2 linked regions of the Schizosaccharomyces pombe genome follow. The protein of the gene in region 2 interacts with the protein of the main gene of each other region in a pairwise test. Each region holds a gene or a part of one and is shown on either strand. Other genes may lie near its edges.

What was found. The genes of interacting proteins can lie anywhere in the genome.
Region 1: the proteins of ima1 (region 2) and SPOM_SPAC1687.17C interact in a protein complementation assay, tested with the Schizosaccharomyces pombe proteins (one large-scale study listed by BioGRID).

Annotation. Positions count from the first base shown.
Region 1 is NC_003424.3:931,985-939,135, reverse strand, and holds SPOM_SPAC1687.17C (Der1 family protein), read left to right. Parts: upstream 1-3,095; 5' UTR 3,096-3,146; coding exon 3,147-3,193; intron 3,194-3,236; coding exon 3,237-3,276; intron 3,277-3,323; coding exon 3,324-3,389; intron 3,390-3,456; exon of another isoform or gene 3,457-3,467; coding exon 3,468-3,887; 3' UTR 3,888-4,195; downstream 4,196-7,151. Other genes in the region: qtr1 (queuine tRNA-ribosyltransferase), read left to right, coding at 1-134, 178-688; cohesin loading factor Ssl3, read left to right, coding at 1,029-1,208, 1,245-1,376, 1,417-2,683, 2,765-2,865; C-5 sterol desaturase Erg31, read left to right, coding at 5,182-6,084.
Region 2 is NC_003421.2:1,886,433-1,895,080, reverse strand, and holds ima1 (inner nuclear membrane protein Ima1), read left to right. Parts: upstream 1-4,216; 5' UTR 4,217-4,608; coding exon 4,609-6,456; 3' UTR 6,457-6,978; downstream 6,979-8,648. Other genes in the region: SPOM_SPCC737.05 (peroxin Pex28/29), read right to left, coding at 1-16; SPOM_SPCC737.04 (uncharacterized protein), read right to left, coding at 1,719-2,984; qcr7 (ubiquinol-cytochrome-c reductase complex subunit 6), read left to right, coding at 7,126-7,539; SPOM_SPCC297.06C (uncharacterized protein), read left to right, coding at 8,427-8,648. UniProt on the Schizosaccharomyces pombe protein: Inner nuclear membrane protein that specifically binds to heterochromatic regions and promotes the tethering of centromeric DNA to the SUN-KASH complex.

The DNA of each region.
Region 1 (7,151 bases), on a different chromosome or scaffold from region 2:
TTTTGTATTATTCAAGGTGGTTTGGACAAACGACTTCGAGAAATTTGTTGTCGTGAAATGGTCAAAAGAAATACTCCAGGGATTGCTGTTGGTGGATTATCTGGTGGTGAAGAAAAACACGCTTTCTGCGAGACGTAAGATGGTTTTTTACCTTTTTCTAATCTAACAATATTTTAGAGTTTATACTTGTACTTCTATACTTCCCGATAACAAGCCAAGATATCTAATGGGTGTCGGATATGCAGAAGATTTGGTAGTATGCGTCGCCCTTGGGATGGACATGTTTGACTGTGTTTATCCTACCAGAACGGCTAGGTTCGGTAATGCTTTGACACGCAAAGGTGTAATAAACTTAAGGAACCAAAAGTTTAGGAATGATATTGGACCTCTTGAAGAAGGTTGTTCCTGCCCTTGTTGTAAAACAGAACTTGAAGGTGGATGGGGAATTACTCGTGCTTATTTCAATAGTTTAGTCTCGAAGGAAACCGTCGGTGCCAACCTCATGACAATTCATAATGTCCATTTCCAGCTCCAACTTATGCGAGATATGCGGGAGTCCATTATAAAGGACGAGTTCCCTTCATTTGTCAAAAACTTTTTCCATGAATGGAACCATGGTGATAAGTCCAATTATCCTAGTTGGGCTGTTGATGCATTACGTATGGTAAATATTGATTTATTGGCATAGTTTTGTGAATTTTTTTAAAAAAATGGCTGTTTTGTGTTTTCTAAGGACCGGGTTTTTGGTATAATTTTAGCAATTAAAAACCATTTCGTATAATATATATATATATATATTTTTAATTATTTTAAATTAAGTTAACCTCTTTTATTGAATTTCGTAAAATATTTAGTTTGAGTTTGTTTCGGATTGTAACTATCTAGTAAGACAAAAAGCCAAAATTTATATGTCCTAATATTACTTTAAATTTATTGATTAAAGTCAATGGTATTGTTAATAGTCACTTGCGTACTTCCCAATTATTACTGTTTATCAAACCTCTATTACAATTCACTACCAACATGTTATGACTGGATTGAACGAGACCGATGCAAGAATCCTCGTAACTTCGAGGCATTTGTTTTTATGGCCTTTGGCAGAAACTTATTTTAAAAATGCTGAAAAGGTTCTCCAAGATTGTGGTGTTTGCGATTCTTTTGGACGTTTGCTATCTACAGGATTGCAATGCCTTTACTCTGTTCTAATGGTAATATTTTTTAAAAAGTCCAAAGCTAAATTTTAGGATACTAAAATGGAACCTCGCGTTGAACTACTGACACGAAAACGCATATGTGAAGTTTTGTTAAGCCATACCGTCGAATATGCAGATGTAGAGGCAATTTTGAATCGAGCACTAATCATTGCAGAACAACATGTATGGTAAATATTTAGACGTGCATTATTGACATTATTAGAACCTTACTGAGTACAAGTTTTCATTACAATTGCTATTAAGTCGTGTTTTTTGTAGAACTTCTCCAAAGGCTGCTAAGGTTCTCTTAACTAGGTGTGTACGGGAGGCAGAAGAATATGCAAAAGTTGCAGAAATATACCACTCTAACAATCAATCTAATCCTCATCGATGGGTCTATGAATTCTTACTAGCAACACTCGAATTTCAAAATGTATCTCAAGTTGCAAATAGTATACATAATTATGCAAATCATCATAAACACCAACATCTTCAGTTATTAGCAATGATATTGAATCAGTCATTGCCAATGGATGAGATCTCTACAGACTCTGATCAAATTTCCATTCTTTGTTTGGTAACTCAAATTGCACAGTGCTTGCGTAAAGGTGAGATTTTGCTCGCTCGAGAAATACTTCCCAAAATCCATTCTAAGTTAGAATCAGAGACATTCGTTTGGCCTTCTTCCTATATTGATTTTTTCATTGATGATACTAGCAAAATATCCATCAAATGGATGAGTATAAATCAACTATATTTGTTAATATATCTGATTTCTGGATTTTGTTACATCTCGGATAGCACATCAGGGAGAGCTAGCCGTTTTCTTCAGGAAGGACTGCGGATTACCGGAGACTTTAAACATCAAGAACGGTGTGTGCTAGAGTATTTAGAATCTCAGAAATGGATCAATAATATTACGAAAGACATGAAGTATTACCTTATTGCTACATACTTGAGCAGATCCCGTTTATCTAAGGCCGAAAGGATTTTACAGTCTACTGAAGATGATCAAACTGGCTTTCTTGGTATTTTGAAAGGGATGTATCTGCAAAAAAGAGGAGATTTAAAAAAGGCTGAAGTTCATTACAGAGAAACTGCTAAAAATTTTTCTTTTCGGACAGACACATTTATCATATCTACCCTCAATTTGATCAATATTTTAGAAGACAGTGCTGCCGCCAGTAGATGCTTAGAGTCGATTGAACCGTTATGTAACAAACATGAAAAGAAAATATTTAAACTATGGTTGTTAGTCCTAAAAGTTATTCGAGAAGGTCCCCAAGTGCATCAAAGTAACGTTTTGCCACGAGTTATTCAGCAATCTTCTGAATATGCAAATACCCAATTACAATATATCTCCTTGACGGAATTATCCGAGAGGTTTGGTAAACTAGAACACGCTGAAAAAATGGCAATTTCCGCTTTAGAACTAGCTAAGAAAAGTAAAGACGAACTATGGTGTTTAATTTCAGGAAGGATTTTAGAAGGTATTATTAACGAACATGAAGGAATCCTATCATTGTTTACATTTTTTACTGTTTATCTGCAAAGTATTAACTTTATTTTAGATTTCTACCGAAGTGTTCAAAAATATGACAAGATGCGTCAACAAGCCTTAGAAAATAGTGCGTATTCCAAGTTAATTGAGGATATATACAGCTTTGTTTAGCTGTTTTCTATTCAGCCACCTTACATTTGAGTCTTCAATGTTGGTTTAAATAGGATGGTGATGTAAATATGTTAACATCTTTAAATATATTAATCTATATTTCTTGTATATCGCTGATATTAATTGTTTTTATTTATTTATTTATTCATTAAAATCGCATTGATCCTAACATAGAAATCTCGACAGATCGAACTACTTAATAACTATAAGAAGGTTCGTAGTACATTGTTAACCGAGTACAACTTCTACGAAAAGTACATCCTGGCTAAAATATATAAAAAATGGCAATTTTGCCAGAATTTATAAGCCAAACTCCTCCGGTTACGAGGTAAGAAATGAAATATTGAGAGTACACGCTAATTTTTATGCAGATACATCGTACTTGGAACCCTATTTACAACATTGGCAGTGGTATGTTTACTCAAATTTTTCATAAATGGTATCGCTTACAAATATAGAATTTTGGTTATGTATCCGATCTTAAGATATTTTTTAATTGGAAACTGTTTTTAGCAAAAGGGGAGGTACGGTTTGTGATTGAAGTAATGTTTGACATAACATGTGATTTCCCTAATTCTAGCTTGTTAACAAGATTTATTTAGTACTGGAGGGCAATAACTACATTCCTTTATGTTGGGCCTTTTGGATTAGAGTTGATTTTATATTTGTCGTTTCTACTTCGTTTCATGAGTATGTTAGAAAGATCTAGTCCGCCGCCTCAAACACAGAGCTTCTTAAAAACGGTATTGATAGTATGGTTTTCTCTTTTAGTTACCTCCTATTTTTCCTACATGCCATTTGCAGCTTCTTACTTTTCATTTACCATGTTATACATATGGTCGTGGAAACATCCACTGTACAGAATCTCGATACTAGGTCTTTTCGACGTAAAAGCACCTTATGTTCCATGGGTAATGGTATTATTGCGCTGGTTACGAACTGGGATCTTTCCACTGCTTGATTTAATTAGTGCTTTGATTGGACATGTATACTTCTTCGTTACAGATTTTTCTACAGTATGACGCCTGAAGAGAATAAGAAAAGAAAAAAAAGTAAATAAATACCACACTTGTTTTCTGATTGACTGCTGCCTATTGATTCCTTTTCTATCTTTACAAGTCGATTTCTATTGAGCTTGTGAAAGACTAGGGATGGCGAATAGTCACTGTCTTTTGTTTATCTAAAATGTTAGATGAATGATTTCCCTAATCAAGGGCACGAATAATATTACGAAAATTTCAGGAATTCGCAGGCGTTTCCTGGTTTGCCAAGCCATTCGAGCTTTTCTTGTTATTTCTTAAAACTAAGTAATAAATGTTTTATCTCATTAGTTTTTTTTTTTTTTTTTTTTTTTTTTTTTTTAAAAAAAAAATTGGGCTACAAGCTACTATTTGTATGTTTACTTTATGCGCGAGCAACATTATGATTTCTGAATAATCGCTATTTCCATTTTAAAAGTGTTGTATTTAAGATATAATGAAAATGTAAAGTATGTAAATTATATACTATATTATATGCGAGTATTTCAACATGGGCATGTGGTGTAGATGGTTATCACGCTTCCTTAGCATGGAAGAGGTCCCAGATTCGAGTTCTGGCTTGTCCAAAATTTTTGTTTTTAAATAATTTTATTATTTTACTTTATTTATTTTTTTTTTTTTTTAAACGACTATGTTCTAACTGCGTATTTATCGTCTTAAAACATCAGCAACATATTGCATACTCTTGAGAAATACCATTATCGTTCCTAGACTTACAAATGCAAGTGGATTAAAAAGAACAAAATGGGGGTACCAAATTAGTCCAAGTCTAAGAATAGCAATCTAGCGTAACCTCTAAGCCTTTGAGAACAAACCCGAGATGGAGGAATGTTAACCTTCTTTTTTCAATTTTTTATCTTTCTTATTTAATTTTTCATCTCATTTACTTATAATAGTTTTAAGATTAGATCTTGTATCGTAAAGTTGATTATTTTCGACTAATATATACCCACTTGCTCGATATCAAACATTCATGTCCAACCTCGTTGTACTTGTTGAATAGCGAGCCCCCGTAGTACTATTCCCCCACATAGTAAGTGTAAGAGATTCTTCCCGCCACAGTGATGTCCTTTCCGATCTGCCCTATCTACCTCTCACTAACCGAAGTGTATAAGCCACCTCTTTGTTTTTTGATAAAAACTTTAACGAAAAAGATAACTCGGTTTCCTATTGACTAATTAATAGCAGCCAACTAGATATCGCAATCAAAATCAGACCATTTTTTGGTACTTCTTATACGCTACCACCGGTCAATAGATTTTAAGCAAACACCTCAATGGACTACCTACTCAACTATGCTGACCAATATGCGCTGGATTCGATATACAATGCTGTATATCCATTAGCTCGCGACAATATCGTTAGACAGTCGATCAGTTTGTTTTTTTTAACTTGGTTTGGCGGTATGTTCTTGTATTTAACATTTGCGTCGCTTTCCTACCAATTTGTGTTTGATAAAAGTCTGATGGATCACCCAAAGTTCTTAAAAAACCAGGTGTTCATGGAAGTTCTAACGGCTTTACAAAACTTACCTGGTATGGCGTTATTGACGGTTCCGTGGTTTTTGGCTGAGTTGCATGGGTACAGCTACTTATACGACAACATCAGTGATTACGGTTTAAAATACTTCTTATGTTCCTTACCTCTTTTTGTCATGTTCTCAGATTTTGGCATTTACTGGGCTCATCGTTTCCTTCATCACCGTTATGTATACCCTCGTCTTCACAAACTCCATCATAAGTGGATTATCTGCACTCCATATGCATCCCATGCTTTCAAATCCGCTGATGGCTTCTTACAATCTCTTCCTTACCATCTTTTCCCCTTTTTCTTTCCCCTTCACAAGTTGACCTACTTGGCTCTTTTCACCTTTGTCAACTTCTGGTCCATCATGATTCACGATGGTAAATACATCTCCAACAACCCCATCATCAATGGTGCTGCTCACCATAATGGCCATCACATTTATTTCAACTACAATTACGGCCAATTCACCACCCTCTTTGATCGCCTCGGCAACTCTTTCCGGGCCCCCGATGAGGCATGGTTTGACAAAGATCTTCGCCAAAACGAGGATGTTCTTCGTGTCGAATTGATGGAGTACGAGGCTATTCGTAATGAAGTTGAAGGTGATGATGATAGAGAATACATCGCTAACTCTGCTAAGAAGAACCATTAAACAACATATCTAGACTCAGAAGAGTTTGTCTCTGAAAAGATTTTACTTTTTTTTTTCGTTTTCATCATTCCCATTTCATTTTTCCCCGTTGGTTTTACTCTTTTGGTCACGTATTTCTATTTCTATGGTTGGTATTACATGCATTATTTACCCGCTCTACCTTCAGTTGCTATAAAGGAACAATGTGAGCGATTTTATATATCCTTTGCAAACTTTTTGCTAATTTACATTTCGAGTCTCTTTAGCATTCCCAAGTTTGTTTTTTTTCGGTTTATTCTTTTAGAACGATAAATCCAGAAAATTTGGAAGTCTCGCATCTAGTCATTCACTCCTTTCTTTTCAAATGACTTGTTTTTTTTGCTTTGCAATTTCTTACCACCTCCCTTTTGAAACGTTGTTTGTTCAGTTGGGTTGATTGGTACTATCATCTCACAAATAATTTACTTCAAATACACTCGTTTTTGCTGTTCACGTCGTTGTAGTTGTTTGCTAGTTTCGTATACGAAATGAAAATTTTGCTCTTATCTTTACTTTTCTATTTTGAAATAAAATGAATGTCAAGCTTACACATGTCATCGACACTAATTTTGATTTGCAATAACTAGTAACTATTCGTTTGTAAACCACTGCTAATTAATCAAAAATTACCAGACTCCTTTCCATTTATTGACTTAGTATGTAATTAGATTTACATGTTTTTCTATTTCTATTTACATATTGATATCTAACGTTGCCAGATGATTTCCTAGAATTTTGTACCCTTTTGATGTTTGCTATATCTTAGGTAGTATTGAATCATAATATTACTTCGCCTCACCAGCTTCTTTCATGTAGTCTACGAAGCAAAAACTTAGTAATGACTCTACCAAAAGAATTTTTAATGAGGACAAAAAAATGAATTAAACAATAATAAAAACAAAACATTCTTTTGAAACCTAACCATAAAATATTAATTGAATCAATCACAAACATTTTACTAGTATAAGAATTATGATATATATGTATATATGAGATTCTGCAGTATACTTTCCAGAATGAAAGAATTACCGATTACATTTCTCATCCAA
Region 2 (8,648 bases):
TCAGTTCATTTTGCATCCTTGAGTAAATTTAATAATCCCTCAAAAACGCTGTAGGAATTTTCTTTTAAAATCAAATATGCACTATGGATCAGAAAAGAAGAGAAATTAGGAAATTTGACACTGAGTTCTCAAAGTTGAATACGGTTCTACGTTTAAGCTTGCTATTAGCGTAGCTTGATACATTGTGTTCAAAGCCGCTGTTAGTTCAAAGAAATTAATCAATGCGTTTGATTCCTGGCTAGGGATGGAACTAGAAGAGCCTGCTAACTTATAAAAAAAATCTTAATTCCAATTCTATTGAAAATTTCTTTGGCTAACTATAATTAGTCCGATGGAAGCAATGTCTTCCCATGATTGCCATTGATTCAATTAACATTATTGCATTTTCAAAAGGTAATAATGCTTAATAAACCCACACATCTAAAAAGAAGTCTTTTTTACCGTGTCGAGAAATGATTTGCCATTATATTGTTTACCTTACAGTGTAAGATAATGAGTAGTTAAGTGGTATTTTGGTGTTCACTATTTGTTGTCCATGCAGTTTGGAACTAATTTAACGATATATAGAACTGCGGCGAGATTTCTAGCGACTTACAACATAGCGGTAAGCGGTATGTTAACTAACAATATTATATTTATTGTTATAAGAAGTCTGTTAGTATCGGTCACCGATATAGCTCATAACTGAACTGTGAAACGAGGTTCAGTAGAAGCTCTATTTACAATCTTACTAATAGTTTTTATCAACGGGTATCTATAATACAATGTAGAGCTTGTGACATATAGAAATACGCAACATGGTGTATCATAGAGTAGTCCAGTATTGCTGTCATTCCTAACAGTCGTTTACTCGTTACGACTTTCATGCTCTCTCTTGTGCTGAAGGCTTGTTTTCTGCTCTATTTTTCATTCAAGACGCTGAAAAGCGAATAGATAGAATGCGATTTAGTTTAAGAGATTTTCGCGGTTCAGGAAAGAAGTTTTCAACATTTTGCAATAGGAATGAATCAGTTCCCAAGTTGAAAGTCATTGGTTTCATTAACTGAGCGTCTCATTTGCAGATATTTCGTTGAATGTCAAAAAGGAAAGAATTAAAGCGATAATTAGTATGCTTTAAAATCCCTCCAATATTTGCAATTAGGAAAATTTTGCCTTAAACTGAATTTCGTACTTTCTACTGCTGCTATAAATGATTATGATCTTTCTGTCTAAAACAACAGGTGCTTGTTTACTGACGCTATACATATCGAGCTTACTTATACATATATTAAGACTTAGGTAAACCGTTTATTTTCACAGCGTCTAAACTGTTTAACGAAATATAGATTTTTAAAGATAAAGCTAGCGAAAAAGGAAAACAGTATAATAATAATAATGAATTATAAGCGGCCATTATCCGAAATGAAATATGAAAATGCAACAAAATAACAGAAAAAAAGAGATGATGAATATAAATACAAAATCGTAAGAGAAGAAAACAGAAGTATGCAAAAATGAGAAATTTAAAGTTGTCGTAAGTAATGGAAAACAGAAAAACAAAAGAAACAAAAAAGCACAGTAACAAAATATTTTAAATTGCCTCGTGCATGACTTAATCTCATCATTTTCATTAATAAAAAGGAAATTCGTGTTAAGACTGCACTAATCTTTTAATTTTTAATTTTTTTTCAATAAACCGAATTTCTTAAGAGAATGCACTTGTGAATATGTAGTATGTATTAAATCCTCATGGGGTATGGGGTAAGATCTGCCTGGAATCCAGCAATGTTATGCCGTAAGTAAAACATTTCTTTTGTTTCCAAGCTATCGAAGCAACCTAGAGGCATGGTAAGATCAAAAAGAGGCTGCATATAACCACTCTTTTTAACATTTTTGAATTCCAATTCTTCGCACACATTAAGGTCCTTTTTGAATTCTTGACGCCATTTTTCCATTACTCGACGCTTGGTGTTCTTTTGAAAAATTTCACAGTCAACCGATCTAGAAAGGAAAGGGCATCTCAGTTCAACAGGCAATACTGTTTCCATCACAGTATTGGCTAGATAATTTTGAATGGGAAACGCACGTGCGTGATTACCTATAGAGAGCATAAACAACAACCATCCAACTTCTTCTTGACTTATCGTTTTGCTTTGGAAAATTGGTTCATTGCTATATTTTGGTAAAGAACTTTTAACACTAACTTCAGGACTCTGCTCCAACTGGATATTGCACATGTAACTTTTGTTGCAAATGGCGGCCCAACTAGTTTGTCCTTGGAATGAATAAACGTCTCCCGGTCGTACCAAGTACATTCTAATATTGCCAATCCGCTTTTGTACGCACCAAAGATGAAATTTCGTGTACTTATTGGAAGTGACCTGCCGGGACACGTAGATGATCATTGCTCTCCATAGGGAGTCCTTCATGTCGTCAGTGTAATAATCGTATAGTAAAACATGTCGAATTAATACTGGCAAGCTATAGTTGCCGGTAGAAAAATGCATCGAAAGGCTTAATCCATCTACTCGATTCTTCTTTAAAAAAGCCCCTAATCGTTTCTGCACCAAAGGCATATCTACTTTGAACTCGTACACCTGTTCCTGCATCGGTGAATATTCAGAAGACACTTGCTCAACACTTTTGAGATATAGTTTATCCTGTCGACGCATAACAATATCCACTAACCCCCCTAAAAACGGATTCTTTATGAGACCTTTATTTCTCCCAGACACTACTACGATACCCAAGCTTTTACCTGTTAAATTCTCGATGGATAGATTACGATCCAACTTGGATAACCAATCCTGACTCGTAACATTAATATTCACATCGCCCGTAGCCTTAGCAGGACTGTTGTACTCGGCTTTGCGAGATTGATAGCCCGGATCCGATTTAAAAAACTGCTGGATTTTCCTTGTAGTCTTTCTCAAGAAAGAGTTTTCCTGACCTTCATCATCAACTTCTCTCAAAATATCCAAACCCGATTGATTAGATATCGACATATTGTCGAATGTCGGTAAAATACTTTGAAACTTTTAAAACTTCGAGAATCGTAGAAAAGAAGAAAAAGGATACCAATATCCAGAATCTCAAAACCACAGTGCGTCCAACTTAAAAATAAAAGGTAATGAAATGAAGTAAAAAAAAAAAATTATTAAAATTTGGTTCTTTCCAAAGGGCTTTGTTTCCTGTTAAATACTAAATATGAAATCGTTTATCTTAGCTTAGCCATTTTGCCATCTTCATCATGCTTTTCCTAACAACGCTCCCCAAGCCACGTAAAACATCAACTTTCGCAACTCGTCCTATTTCAAGTTTACGAAGACATCCAATTTCCTAATCGTCTCTACCCTATAATATTTTGTATAATCATGGTCTAAGCCATTTCATCGTAGCGATGAGCCTCTCGTAAGTTAATTAATGGCGCAGCATATCAATTTTAATCAACTTGTAATAGAATAGAGATGATCATGCTGTCTATTGCTTATAGTTACAAGACTAGATTTCCTTTCTCAACATGCAATAAGGATTGAAAAGTAAAAATGAACTACTTGTATGAAATTTTCGTTTTCGTGCTTAATTCATGATTATGACCTTTTGGAGTCAGTGACATACACCGTTTCCATTGACAGACATTATTGAATTTTTTTTTTACAATGGGGCAACAGTCAATGTTGGCGCAAGCTTAAGATGCAAATGCAATCTTTCATTTAAAAGCGGCTTGTTTCATCAATACATTTGACATTTAACGATGGCTTGTAGGCATTGTTGTAGACATCCACTCAGCCTACATTTTGTCAATACTTTTCTACACAACTTCTCAAACTCGTTCCTTTGTAGCTTAAAAATTAAGCGAACTTAAAAACTATTAAACTTTTTGTTAAACGAATTATTTGCATAAAATACCAAAAAGATTTTTTGTTGACTTTCACCTAACAAATTAAGAGCGGTTGGTTTTATTAAAAAGAAAATTTATTAAGATATTTCTCATTGCATTCCACTTCAATGCGTCGTAGAGCATATCATAAGTAAGGCTCTAAAAATAAGCCACAAACACTGATCGTTCTTCTGGTACAATGGTTCAAATTTTTTTTTTCTAGGAAGCTCGAAAAAGAAAATACAAACAAAAAAAAATTAAACAGCTCATTTCTTCAAAAACTCCTTTTATCCTCAATTTGTTTGAACTTTGTTCTGACAACCCGCTACGAATTGGCTTGGGACCCTGCTGACGGTCGGCCTTTTCCCTATTCTCACCACGAGCACCGTGGGGAAACTGTATAGTCGAAATCTTCGAGTTTTCTTGCTCAACATTTCAAGAAAACTTTTATACTATTCAAGTGTATCTAATTGTTACTTCACTCGTTATTTAGTACTTCTCTTTTACTTTGTCAAGCAGCACAAGTGTTTGATAAAGGTCATTCTGTATAAGGGGTCCTCTGTACCATTACACCTTGTACCTTGATATAAAAGATATTTACATGCATTTTATTTCCGTTAACTCACAGAATATCAGTTGTTTGGTTTTCTTCTTACGTGTGCTGGTTTGACTTGTTGTTTCCCTTTTTTTTTTTAAATTTGCACACACAGGATTCTATGAGAACTTTGCATTAAATGGTATAATGGGAAATGGAATCTAGCCGATTGTTTACACTTGGATTGGGAAATTCCGATGATGGATTGAAATCCACTTTTGGTGATAAAACAGTAACTTGTTTTTATTGCAACAAGAAGAAGGAAAAAATTAGAGACGGAACGTCTACTTGGACTTGCTCAATTTGTGAAGCCACCAACCATATTGATGAGAAAGGTGATATCCTGGATTATCGACCTCCAACCCCAACTCAAGACAAGGGTGTTGGTCCTTTTTACGCGATACGGGATTTCCCAAGCAGTTCTTCCTTTCAGAGCCCCTTTTGTGAAAAATGTCAAATGAACCAACTGATTGTGAATCGGATGCTTGCTGATTATCTGCCAGACTCATCACATCCAGATTATCAGGCTTATGAGAAGGCATTACCAGAGTATAAAAAATCTATAGAAGAGAAATTTCCCATTGTTTGCTCTGAATGCTATGACTCCGTTCAAGACCAACTTGATGCCAATGATTATGAAGCCAAAAATCAGGTTTTAGGATATTGGCTGCAAAAGTCAAAGGAACAGCTAAACGCAAAAGTCCCCCATCACTATCCAAAAGCTTCTTTTGTTCTTTGGTTACTTCGTGGATTTGGTTTTTCGTTTTTCTATTTGCAATCGATTGTGTGGCATTTGTATCATTCTATGATAATAAGCTTATTACCAGATGGTATTCGTAATTTATTTCTAAAAGCAATCTCTTACTTCCTATTAGATGGATCCTCTAGCAAAATTTTTTACTTTAATTGGCTTGGTTTTTTCGTTGTCTTTTGGAACCCGTATTGGTACAAAATGATGGACAATCCATCTTGGGAGCTTTTTGGGCGGGATCAGTATATCCAATGTCAGGCACTTTATCTTATTATCCGTTTAACTTGCTTGTATCTCCTTTCATGTTATGAGTCGGAAATTTTGAACTTAAGCTCGGATACCAATCTTGAAAGTGATTTTTTACTCCGTCAAATACATGCAGCCTTTTTCTTTGTTACCATTTGTTTTACATGGATTAGCATCTCATGTTTAAAGCCAAGTCCTCCTCCAGAAGTTCATTTGACTGGCGAAATTTTGAAACCACGCAAGAAGCGTCAGGAAAGTACATCTTCTGTGCATCGGATAGGAAAGGAATCGAGTGACAGAAAAGATGGAATTAGTGGGCAGAATAAATTGCAGCAATTTGCGACAATTTCAATTCTGAATAATACCAACGCAACGTCTCATTTGGGAAATCAGTCTGTTCGTGAGAGAGCTCCGGAGGAATCCCCTATGACTTTTCTTCAAAAAAAAATGGCCGCCCTTCCAACATCTAGTCCTGTTCGACCGATGCTTAAACCTACTCTTCAGCTTCAAAATTCTCCTTTATCGAAACTGGTTCCTCAAGAAGTGGGCAACAAAGTAAACGATTCTATTCATACGACGTCTAATCAGCCAAGTAAATTTTCCCTGAACCCTTCCATATCTCTAAAAGGTGATAACGTGATAGAGAAGAATTTACCTTTTTCCGTGTCTACTTTAAAGTCCACTGCAAAGAAAGATACTGGTAAAGCAGGGGATGGTCAAAATCGCGAAATTCAAAATGAGCCAGTGAGCCTTGAAAGTCATTTTAGTAAGTCTTTAGCCCTTCAGAACGATCCAACAGAAGTTATTCAGGTGAAAAACGTTCTTCACCGGAATCGTCGAAATGCAAAGCTTCTCATTGCTTTCACAATTTTGTTCCTCGTTGGGTTAATTTGCGGATGGCGTTTGAATCGTTTTACTATGTTCATTTACTATTTATGCATATTGGTGTTAGCCACATATTATGTTATGAAACACAACTTTTATCCTTTAAGAAAGGTGGCTTGATCTGGTTACTATTTAAAGAAGTGGATGCAAAGTAATATGGAATATATTCTTTTGCAAACCAATCATTCATTAATTTATCCAATTTTGGAATAAATTTCGTTACTAATATTGCCAGAGGCGGTTATGTCGCTATCATTTGTTTAAAGTTTTTCAGCTCCTTTCTGGCAACTCGACATATTCGAGCTAGCGCATTCGCACAAATGGGATCCAATATAAATTTACTTTTTTTTTCCTATTAAAGCTATATAATTAAGTATTTTTCATACTAACGAGTTTTATTTGATAAATTTCATTCGTTTCAATAGGTTAGTACTGAAAGAGAACATGTAACCTGAGCAAACTTCTGGTTCATACGAATACTAGCAATGGTGCATTCCCGAATATATGTTAGACACGTCGTTAAATTAGTTTAGGTTATAAAATCGTTAGAGTTAAACAATAACTTAAGAGAAATGAGCCGAGAATACTAGGATATTCAGATTTTCATTACTTTCTAATTCCGCTCAGGATTCTATGTGCAGGTAACATCAGGTGACCGAAGGATTCATTGGCATACTATAGGGCCATGAGATCTTACCTTCTTCCAATATTCAAAACTAAGAGTTTTATTGATTTCAGTGCAAATTTTGTAGTGACGAAATTTTTTTTTGCTGAAGTGATTGTTTAAGTATGAAACCTGTGTCTCTTGCCAAGTATATTCAAAAATCACCATTTTTGACGAAATTGCTTTTACCCATCTCCAATGCCTATGTGCATTTGTCAGGATACCGTAAATATGGTCTTCGATACGACGATTTGATGTTGGAGGAGAATGACGATACTCAAAAGGCGTTATCTCGTTTGCCTAAGATGGAATCCTACGATCGAGTCTATCGTATTCGCCGTGCCATGCAACTTAGCATTGAGAATAAAATTTTGCCAAAATCTGAATGGACAAAGCCTGAGGAGGATTACCATTACCTCAGACCTGTTTTAGCTGAGGTTATCGCGGAGAGGAAAGAGCGTGAGGCCTTCGACGCTCTCATTGTTAAGAAACCCGAGACTCAAGCCCATGCAACATCTTCTCCTGCTCATGCTCATTAAAAGTTTGCATGTCCTCCTTTAATCCACTTATTCCTCTCATGAAAACCGACAAGAAAATTAAAAGAGTAGTAAACGGATGTGAGAATTTTATTTTCTAAGTAACCCCCAACTCCAATTTCTAAAAAGGAAGACAATTTATGCACGTATCTTATTTCATCGGTTATATCAGTCGACAAAGTACGTGGAAACGAAAGTTTTTATATTGCTGTTTATCTGTACTTTGACTTTACTATGTGTGCGATTAATTTTCTACGCCGCTCTGTTTTTGCTTTGCTCTATTTTAACTACTGGTATATCTCCCATCTCTTTGACCTCTCCTCTCTATGCTTTCAGTTTTCATATTTTAATTGAACAACGATTTTTTCTTATTTTTTATTTTTTGTAGCTGCTTTTTCCTTGACTGTTATCTTTGAAAGAGAAACAATTTTTTTGTTTCTTAGTTTCGCTTTCTGAAGATGATTTTGCAATTATTCTCTCGCTGAATCAATTATAGCTAATGGTTGGTATAACATAAGTTAGTGAACAAAACATTGTAAGGCAAACCAACTAATGTAGTATTTTTTTTAAATCGTGATATCAAATTTTAAACTTGTTAAACAGACAAACTTATTTTGAGAAATTTTATGACAGTTTGGCATTGTATTTATTGATTTAATTAAGCTTACTCCTATTTGACTTTAGGCATACTCTTCCTTGTACGACTTCAAGCTCATGAGCTTTTCACTATCTGAAATGTTGTACCCAGAGTCATAATATATGAACCTCCGATCGACGTAAAGTATTATTGAATTTAATTTTATTTATTTCCGCGTTTGTTTAACTTGTTTGAGGAACTTGAAAAATTACAAGAAAATCATGTACAATTTTGTTCGAAATATTTATTGAATATGCAGGGGAAAATCAATTATAAAGACATTACTCAGAAAGAAATGTTCAATGAAATATTTAAAGAATATGTTAAGGAAGAGAAGCAGATCGATTTGGGTACTTGTGATCAAGATTCTGTACACGACCTCTGGCGACGCTTTGTAAAAAGATGGAATGATGGAAAAATGAAAAGTAAATGGTATTCGTTGGGAAAGAGAATATCTCAACCCTCTTATGCTCGT